Linked DNA regions of Rattus norvegicus. The protein of the gene in region 2 purifies or fractionates together with the protein of the main gene of each other region. This does not show direct contact. Links are inferred from orthologs where the notes say so. Each region holds a gene or a part of one and is shown on either strand. Other genes may lie near its edges.

Region 1 (4,664 bases), on a different chromosome or scaffold from region 2:
TACCAACATTGAAATTTTAGCCAGATCAGAAAGCAAACATACAACAGAGAGAGAACTGATACAAACATCAGTAAATGAATGGTAATAAGAAACTAAGATAAAAGGAAAGCTATAGAGTATAAATTTGTGCATTCTAGAATTTATTTGAGCAGGGCATTCAATATTAGGGAAGAATTAATGGTTATTATATGTACAAGTATACAGTATAGTGCTCAGCAATGCAGGTTCTGGATTCAGACTGAATATTGAAATCCAGGTCTTAGCATTTATTAGCTGTTTGATCTAGGTCACTGATCAAACTGACCTAACCTCTATATGCCTTAGTTTCTTAATGTAAAAAACAGGATTAATAATACCCATTTTTGGGGCTGGGGATTTAGCTCAGTGGTAGAGCGCTTACCTAGGAAGCGCAAGGCCCTGGGTTCGGTCCCCAGCTCCGAAAAAAAAAGAACCAAAAAAAAAAAATACCCATTTTTAAGTGTTCTACCACTGGTGTTACAGCCCCAGTCTAAGGCAGATTTAATGAGATGATCTGTGTTAGGTACATAGAGAAGAACCAGAGGTATGATCCTCACTAACATCAACAACTATTGTTATTAATAATACCACTTATTTTCAATATCTGAATATATAGTAGTCATGGTTGGCTCAAAGTTACCTTAACTATATAATTAATGCTTTAGCAAAAGTGCTTAGTCTTCAACTACAAATACTTCTTTATCTTTTAAAGAAGGCAAACAAATCCAATTGTTCCAAAAAGACTTTGCTTCCAAAGTAAGGAAAACTCCCAACTTTTCAAGCTGTTTCCTTCTATATCAGTACTTACCTAGGTTCTACTTCTCCAGTTACGGTCATTAAAGTGCCTCCCCGTGGATCATTGGGAGCATCACCTAAAAGACCACGAGGAGTTGGGACGTTGGCAGGCAAGGCTCCCCGCTGCATAGCTGCTCTGGGGTCTTGCATTGGCACTGACAGGGAAACAAATGGGGAGTTACTGCTGTGAAAGACACATAAAAAACAAAAATGACTCTGTACCACTGACAATGTAATTCAAACACCTTAAAGTGGGTGAAACCTCACCACAGCAGAATCCTCTTGCAGCTCAAGAACAGAAGCAGGGTGTAGGCAGAATCTGTGCCATGTCAGAGGTATGGATGGAATTATATATAAACAGTAAACTGGGGAGCACCTGTCAAGAACTAGCAAAGTGACCTGAAGAAACTTATGATCCTGATTTTCTTTCTAACCAATCTTAGTTTAAGGACCAGAGTCATAAAAGAGAGGTTAGGGTCTTGGCATATGAACACTGTCATGGCTCTGCAAGAACCTGCTGTCTCCTTACAGACTGCAATTCCATCCAAGCCTCCTGACACCAGTAGGGAGGGAGTAGAGCCTCGGACAGATGCCCATATCATCCATGTTCTCTGCCCTGTGTGAAGAGGTCAATCTTAGGCTTGTGGCCTCAAGAGGGGAAAAAAAAACACAAAAATAAGAACAAAAAAAGCAAAAAATTAAAAAAAACCCAAAAACATTACCCTTTGGGGGTTCTGAACGTGAGGATCACTGCCAAGCAGCTCTTTTCCCCTCAATGTCCCACCCTGAACACCACAAGCAAAAGGAAACCCGCAGATACAATGGGTACCTTGAACTCGCTCAATTGATGCAGGCCCGGCGGGTCCCACGGGCGAGTGCTGTAAGGTTCCTAGGTGAGCAGTAAGTTCAAAAGGAGAGACACTTAAAATAGCTTGAACACACATAAACACACACACGGAACGGAGACTGGATATTTACATGTCAGTAAGAAGCCAAGAGTTCATTAGTTTGTCCTAGACTACAAAACTCCCAAAACTATAATAGGCCTTTCTCTTATCCAAAACAGCTCCACTTTGACCAGATATCTTTCTTTGTAAAACCTTTTAAAAATTTTATTTATGTATGTATTTTTTAAATGTAGGCGTGCGCTGTCTGCATGTACACCTACAGGCCAGAAGGGGGCATCATATTACTTTATAGATGGTTGTTAGCCACCATGTAATTGCTGAGAATTGAAGTCAGGACCTCCAGAAGAGCAGCCAGTGTTCTAAATCAGTGAACCATCTCACAGCCTCAGATACCTTCCTTAAGGGAAACCTATGGGCTAGTTTATTTGGGCAAGAATAACCTCTTGAACTCTTTTTGTTACAGCACCATTTTCCCTAATCACTTCTTGTACCATTATTAAAAAGAAAAAGGAAACAAGAGAAAAATGTTTTCAAAAGCAAACACAAATTGCACGGAATGTGACACGTTTTATCACAGACAACCATAACAGAAGAGGGGCAATATTAATTCCATCATATTTTAAAGTCTAGAATTTTCTATCAATAGTATCAAATGGGAAAATGCAGCTGAACTTTAGGTGAGGAAAGAGAGTATCACTCTGAAAGAAACAGTCTACTACAGCCAGTCTACAGTTATAAGAAACATGACAAAGATTAATGAGTTGACAAGGTATAACCAATATTAAAAAGACGGGAAAGAAGTTCTGTCTCAAACATCTGTTACCATTACAAACATGCAAACCTAACATGATTCCAGGCAAAGGAAAACAGGTCTGGTCACAAATGAAACCATTCTTGTTTCCTCTGCTGTGCACTGAAGGAAATTATTTTTTTAAAATTCATCTCACTTTGTTTTTGCCTCAGAAGGTCCTTGAAACACTTTCAAAATGTGAGCCAATTCCCCTGTTAATTCTTACCAGAAAGATGGGACTAAACTAAAGTAGGAAGATTTCTTGTTAAACAGCTGAATGGTTCACTGATAAGACAGATGGCCTGGGAAGAGGAAGAGATCAATGGAAGGCCAAGCCCTTCTCACTACTGCAAGATACTGAGGTAGATACGCCATGTACTAACAGTAATGAGATGGGGTACACAGCAGCACAGAAGCATGAGATACTTTTAAGGGAAGAGAAGATGTAGGTTACAAGTTTGTCTTGTTGTCATTCATCTGATATGTTTAGACTTGTCATTTCAATCACCAATCCCTGTATACCAATCATGGGCCTGTATCTTATTATGTGTTTTTGAAATGAGTTTCTCATATAGGGACTCAGCTGAGAAGAAAAATATTAAGGCCCTTTGGTCTGTCCAAAGCAATCCGTTCTCAACACATACCAAATGAATAACAAGAATATTTTGAAAATTAATTCTGAAAGAAGGCAGATTTTGGATTTGGAGACTTCGCTTTTTAAGTCAAAAACGAAGAGCACCAGATCCAGACCACCACAGTAGTCAGAAATGAGTATGTACTTACCTCATCCTACTGAGAAACTTAAAACTCCTGTGCTTCCATCTCTTTACCTGTAAAACTAAGGCACTGCCACCTAACTCAAAGGGTGGTCTATGAACATAGAGGTGGCTGAGTATATACAGTATATACTCAGTTCCCTTTTCTTCCATCGTCTTTCATTTTCTAACGGAACTAATATACTCTCTTCTCCTTCAAACTTCAATAACATAAGGAAAGAACACAAAGATTCTGGAAGGGTTGCTGCTGTTATATACGGTGTTTTTAGTTTTGTTTTAACCACAGTACAGGAGACTCTTTAAACTATGATTTATAGACCTCTGCTTTCCTCCCAGCTTACTACGGGATTTACATCCGATCATACACTAAATGCTCATTATATAAGTTTCTGACAAAGTAAATAGCTATTCAGATTAAGTGAGATCATGCCCGTGGAGCTGTTACACTACCAGGAAACAAAGTATGCATTTATTTGCCTTATCACCAACTCTTGTAGAGCTAGGTGCTGGATATGGGAAGTCTGGAGCAATAGAAGTTTAGTGAATATAGAAACATTCTACATCTGCAATGTCCAGTGTGGTCTTCATTAGCACATGTGGCTACTGAGCACCTGGAATGTAGTCACTGTGCCCAGGAAATCAGAGTATTAGGCTTTCATGATTAATTTGAACTTAATTTTAATGAATTTAATCTTTAAGTTGCCACTGGTGATTAGTGGCTGACACATTAGACAGTGCAGATATGAAACATTTCCATGTCTAGTCTATATTAATATTTACCTTGTCCTCGTTCCATGGGCACTGGTCCAGCTCCTTGCATTCCAACTTGGGCTTGCATGACTCCTAGAAAATGAAGTGCAGGGAAAAACATAAATTGGGCCTGTAGAAACAAACCCCAACAACAGTGGCTGAGTTTACGAATGTCATCCCTTTTCCCTTTTCCCTTTTCCCCCACAAGGAGAAAGCTCTGATAGAAGGTGAAGACTACCATTCAACAATGCAATGAGCAGAAGATGAAGTTTGTTTGTCAGCATATGTCACACTTCAGTGACAAGGGAGTCCACAAGGAATATTTTATCACAATTACCAAAATTGTAGCAGAAATCCCTTTAATACAAGAAAACAACACCTCTTACTTAACAAGCCTCTTCTCATGGGAGGCAGTGCCACTCATAGGATATTTTATAAATATATGGGTATATTATTTAGTTATGACAAAACCTTTGGGGATATAGGTGACACTAAATAAGATGGGGTCAGGGATACTAGGTGTCCTCAAAGTATGATGCAATTCCACAAAATCAAGGTTGATCTTCTATCCAATAAAACTTTCAAATGTCCCACTCAACATTCATACCCAGGAAAGTCTGTTGTCAT
Region 2 (4,664 bases):
GGTAAGAGCAGCTAGCACTGTGTGTTTAAGTGCCACATTACAAAATTAAAATGTACTGAGCATGGTGGGAAATGCCTTTAATATCAGTACTCAGAAGGCAATGGCAGGCAAATCTCTGAGTTCAAAGCCAGCCTGGTCTACAGAGTGAGTTCCAGGACAGCCAGGGTTATGTTGGGAAACCCTGTCTCAAAAAAATAAAAACCCAAACCAACCAACCAAAATTAAAACATGTTATTAGAAAGCATTTGATCATAATATACTTTAAATTAAATCCAGTTGCATTAATTCATCTTGGGACACACACATGGAAGTTTTATAAATTCCTACATGGAATTTGCAGTGCTAATCAAGGAGGATCAGATGTGAATAACAGAATCTAAACCTTTCTTCCTGTGGCAGGAGGGTTCAGGTTGACTGCTGTGTACTGAGGGAACGTGGAGACCCCAAGCAAGGGCAAGCCTGACTCCAGTGAGTCCCAGCACCATGAGGCCGGCTGGAGAGCAGAGTCTCAGCAGGGCAGGCTGCAGTGTGCCCACCCCCCCCTCCCCACTCCCTCCGCCATGCCTCCCCTTCCTCCATGAGCATCACCTTGAGGTTGCTGATGTGCTTGAAAACGAAGGGGTTGTTGATGTTGATCTGCTTCCGGATCTTGTCGTTCATGGCGTTCACGTAGGTCTGGTACACGGCCATGCACTTCTTGGCCAGAGACGATGCGTAGTAAATGGGGATGTCGTGCAGCTCTGGGTGGTTCTGCCAGTACTCATCTGCAGTGGTGTCACAGAGGCAAGCATCACTAAGCAGGCCAGGCAAGCAATCAAATCATGATGATAACTAACTGAGAAACGAAGGGCCATATAACTGTATTTTAATGAGTTTGTCAAAGCCACCCTGTTCCTTACTACTGTAAACTACAAATCTAAACAGAAATATAAAATCTAAAAATAAAACAAAGTTGTAGTCACAGATCAAAACTATGGAGTCTCTCACAAATGCTCCTTTTATATTTATACTGATTAATATTTTTGTTTGGTTGGTTTGTTTTGTTTTTCAAAATCGGGTTTCTCTGTGTAGCTCTCGATGTCCTGGACTGTCTCACTATGTAGACCAGGCTGGTCAGGACCTCACAGAGATCTGCCTGCCTCTGTCTCCCGAGTGCTTATAGAGGTTTTAATATAATTATTATTTCAAGCAATTGCTTATTATATATTACATAATGGTATTTCTAAAAAACTTCTGTATAAACTGCTTCTTACTAATTAATGAAAGTTGTGAACAAAATACTTTCATGTGAAGGCCTATTTTTTTCTGTTTTCAGGGATAACCTCATTAAATCCCAGCAGTTTACAAACACGCTGCCCAGGTTTGTCTGAACGGCTTAGGAGTGGAGTGCACAGGAGGTACAAGTTAAGGTCAAACGAGATGCCCTTCCTTGCCTGTCTGCAATCAAGTGCCTGGATGATGGACATTTTTATCTGTGACAGCACAGGGCCACCTTCACCCCTCTGGCTCTTTGCTGGTTTCCACAGATTTTTACTCTACATGTTGATGGACCAACTTGTCTCACCATCAGGTTCAGAGGACAGAACTGAACAAGCGCAGTCTCTGTAAAGGACTGCTGTGGTCCTGAGAGGTGTTGGCCTATCCTCCCTTGACTGTTTTCCAGTCACTGCAACAAGAACGCTGTTCATCCCTTTCTCAGAGATGCAAGCACAGAGAGCGGAGGACAGGCACCTCTACCTCACACACACTTGCTGTGAGTGCAGGCCCTGACTTGTCTGCAGCACGACCCTCACAGAATCATGACAGATCAAATCAGGGGGATCAGGGAGCACAAACACACAACCCTACAGTACAAAGTTATGCACACTGACTGAGGTCTTCGGAAGACACAAGAGGGGCAGATCACGGCCACTCATCTTCCTATTATTCCTTTGTGCTTGTGTCATTACCTAAGCCGACTATAGGACAGGTAGTTTTTTAGTCCTATTTTTTGGGGGGGGAGGGTGGTATACTTAATATTCTGTGAAAAGTCTACACTCTGCTCTCTAACTCAACTTATGTTCATGGTATTTCCTGAAAATACTACAATAATGGAAGTTCAGACCTAGGACCCAGTAGTCGGAAATACTGGGCTATATATACAGTAAGACCTTATCTAAAACAAACAAACAAACAAACAAACAAACAAACAAACCCTCAAATACAACAAGGACTGAGAAGACAAACACCTCCACCTATCTCTCCTCACGTCCTAGAAGTGCCATAGTTAGTCTACAGTTGCCCATGCTGGAAGGCTTCCAATACTGATGGGAACCAGAAAGGCATGTCAGGTGGTCCTAGCAGCAGTGGACATTAGGTGCTGCTTTCCCCCAGCTCTCACCAGCACCAGGTCCCCAAGTTGCCCCCTGTAGCTCCGGGGATTGAACCTGGGGTCTCGTGTGTGTTTGGGAGGCCACCGAGCTACACCTTCAGTCCCCAGTCACAGTTAGAAATAAAGATAAAATGCTGTATCCACAGCTGCGAGAGTAAGTCACCCAAATACCTAGAATCAGGAGCAGCTCCTGAGCTCTTCCGAGAGCAAAGACAGGAATGAGCCCTCTGCCCCCTCTGTTGACAATGTCGTGCACAGTGTTGCAGAATCTTGCTTCTCGCTCTTCACGCTTCTCATGGATATGGGTCCCATACGTAGATTCCTAAATAACAGATTAGATATGTAAGACTAAGACCAACCACTCTTGAGAACTCAGAACTTAAGCATTAAGGAAAAGCTGAGGCTGAGATTCATTTCTTCAGCAACACGGCATTCACCTGAGCATCTGTTGTTATAGCAGTAACTAGAAAAACAATAAATAACAATAGAATCCAAATCATACCAAGAATGCTACAGACACTGAGTCAGGGATCAGTATAAAATGTTCCTTCTTCCCTCAAGGGCAAGCACAGTAAGTACAGTAAGCAATGTTTCTCTGGCTTATACTTAAGAACCTGGGGCCTCCTCACTATGCGAGTGCTGCTGCAGTTCCTGTACTTATTGGGAACGCAGAACCCACGGCCCAGCACACTGGCTGCAGCACCAGACAAGTTATAGCCAGGGAAGCTCTGCTCGACAGCACAAGTCACACGGAAGGGCTGGAAAACAACTTCCCCAGCACAAGTTGGTGCCTGTGCTGAGCACCAGGCCATGTCACAAGGAATCCACTCTGCATGTTGCACACGGACAGCAACAGGCAGGGGCTCACACTTCAGCAGCTATGTGTCCAAACCGCAGCCGTGGGGACCAAAGGTACTTGATGCTTTTGTGTGTATGACAGGCCCAGAAGAGGACCATTCCTGACACTGTCAACCATCAGTCCCCTCAAAACTGCTTTTGAAGACAGTTCATTCTTTTGTTTCCTTGAGACTTGCAAACTAATAATATATGACAAGTACTCCACAGAAAAGGGCAAAGCCATCTCTAAGACCATTTAATATGTTCTCCTAACAAACTCGCCTAGGGAAAGACATGCAGGTGGCGGGGAGGCACACCCTGTCTCCTCATGCTGCAGAGACAGACCATGATCCTAAGACTAAGTCAGCGTGAATGCACTGTAGAGCAAAGGGGAGGGACAAAAAACAGCCAAGAGAATCCTCACATAACAAACAACAGGCAAACAGGTGCCCATCAAGGATGTCAGGACTGTGACACTGTCATTCTTTTCCCCACTAGAAGTTCAGGTTTACATTACACTAACTATAATCCAGTCCGTTAATACTCACAATGATCAGGATGTCTGGCTTAATATTAGGAATTTCAGCGGCCATTAGATGTCTGTCCTCTTGTCTTGAGAAATCACCTGTATACAAAAGCTGTGAAGACACAGAGCCAGGATATCAGGATCTGGGAAAGGCTCCTCTTCCTAGTGAGCAGACAGACCCTCACGTCTAGGAGGAAAACTGAATTTAAACAGCAAACTACTCACCTGCCTACACTTAAGGGACTTTAGAGACAATGCCTGCATCTAATTCTAAATGTGTCAGTTAGTCCCTAAGACACCCTGGGTTTCAATCAGTAAATCTAACTTTCCAGAAAAATATATCCCATAGTCAACCCTCAAAGATAAGCATGTATCAGCACTGTCAGGGCCAAATCAGAATGAATCAGATCTGCGCCCTGCCATTTCCTGCTGACTTTTGGGGCCCTGGAACATGGATGAGTGATCTGATGACAATGTAGGGCTAGGTATGCAGACATTTCAGATAGACCATGTTCACATAGAACCATGCTGTCCAGCTTCCAAAGCAAAATCACTAAAAACGTACAAGAGAGAAGCCATATCTTTCCATCTAGGTCTCAGTCAATGGCTACTTGCCCTGGAGTCTAGAATTCCAGAGCCAGTAAAGGCACTGCCAAGCCTGATGCCCTGAGTTCAACTCCCAGGACTCACATGGCTGAGGGAACCAACTCCTTCGAGTAGTCCTTCCTACACATAAACACAGTCTCCTCCCCCATCCCCCACCTCTGCCATGCATACACGTGTGTGAGTACACACATCCCACACTAATGAACTATGCAGATGCTTTAGTCCACTCAGGTATCACAACTTCACTGACATCTCCACCTTCCTTTCCTTGGCATGGCCACACAATCCTGTGCTGAGCAAACTCTTCCCTTCTGCAGGCCACCT

What was found.
Region 1: the proteins of Cpsf3 (region 2) and Cstf2 purify together in Homo sapiens (affinity purification with mass spectrometry; 3 studies listed by BioGRID and IntAct, with this or other methods). This does not show direct contact. The link is inferred for Rattus norvegicus from reciprocal best matches to the Homo sapiens genes CPSF3 and CSTF2.

The regions. Positions count from the first base shown.
Region 1 is NC_086039.1:101,556,321-101,560,984, reverse strand, and holds part of Cstf2 (cleavage stimulation factor subunit 2), read right to left. Parts: intron 4,131-4,664; coding exon 4,068-4,130; intron 1,703-4,067; coding exon of another isoform or gene 1,643-1,702; intron 1,430-1,642; coding exon of another isoform or gene 1,328-1,429; intron 969-1,327; coding exon 827-968; intron 1-826. UniProt on the Homo sapiens protein: One of the multiple factors required for polyadenylation and 3'-end cleavage of mammalian pre-mRNAs. This subunit is directly involved in the binding to pre-mRNAs.
Region 2 is NC_086024.1:46,574,400-46,579,063, reverse strand, and holds part of Cpsf3 (cleavage and polyadenylation specificity factor subunit 3), read right to left. Parts: intron 3,847-4,664; coding exon 3,757-3,846; intron 2,694-3,756; coding exon 2,543-2,693; intron 765-2,542; coding exon 589-764; intron 1-588. UniProt on the Homo sapiens protein: Component of the cleavage and polyadenylation specificity factor (CPSF) complex that plays a key role in pre-mRNA 3'-end formation, recognizing the AAUAAA signal sequence and interacting with poly(A) polymerase and other factors to bring about cleavage and poly(A) addition.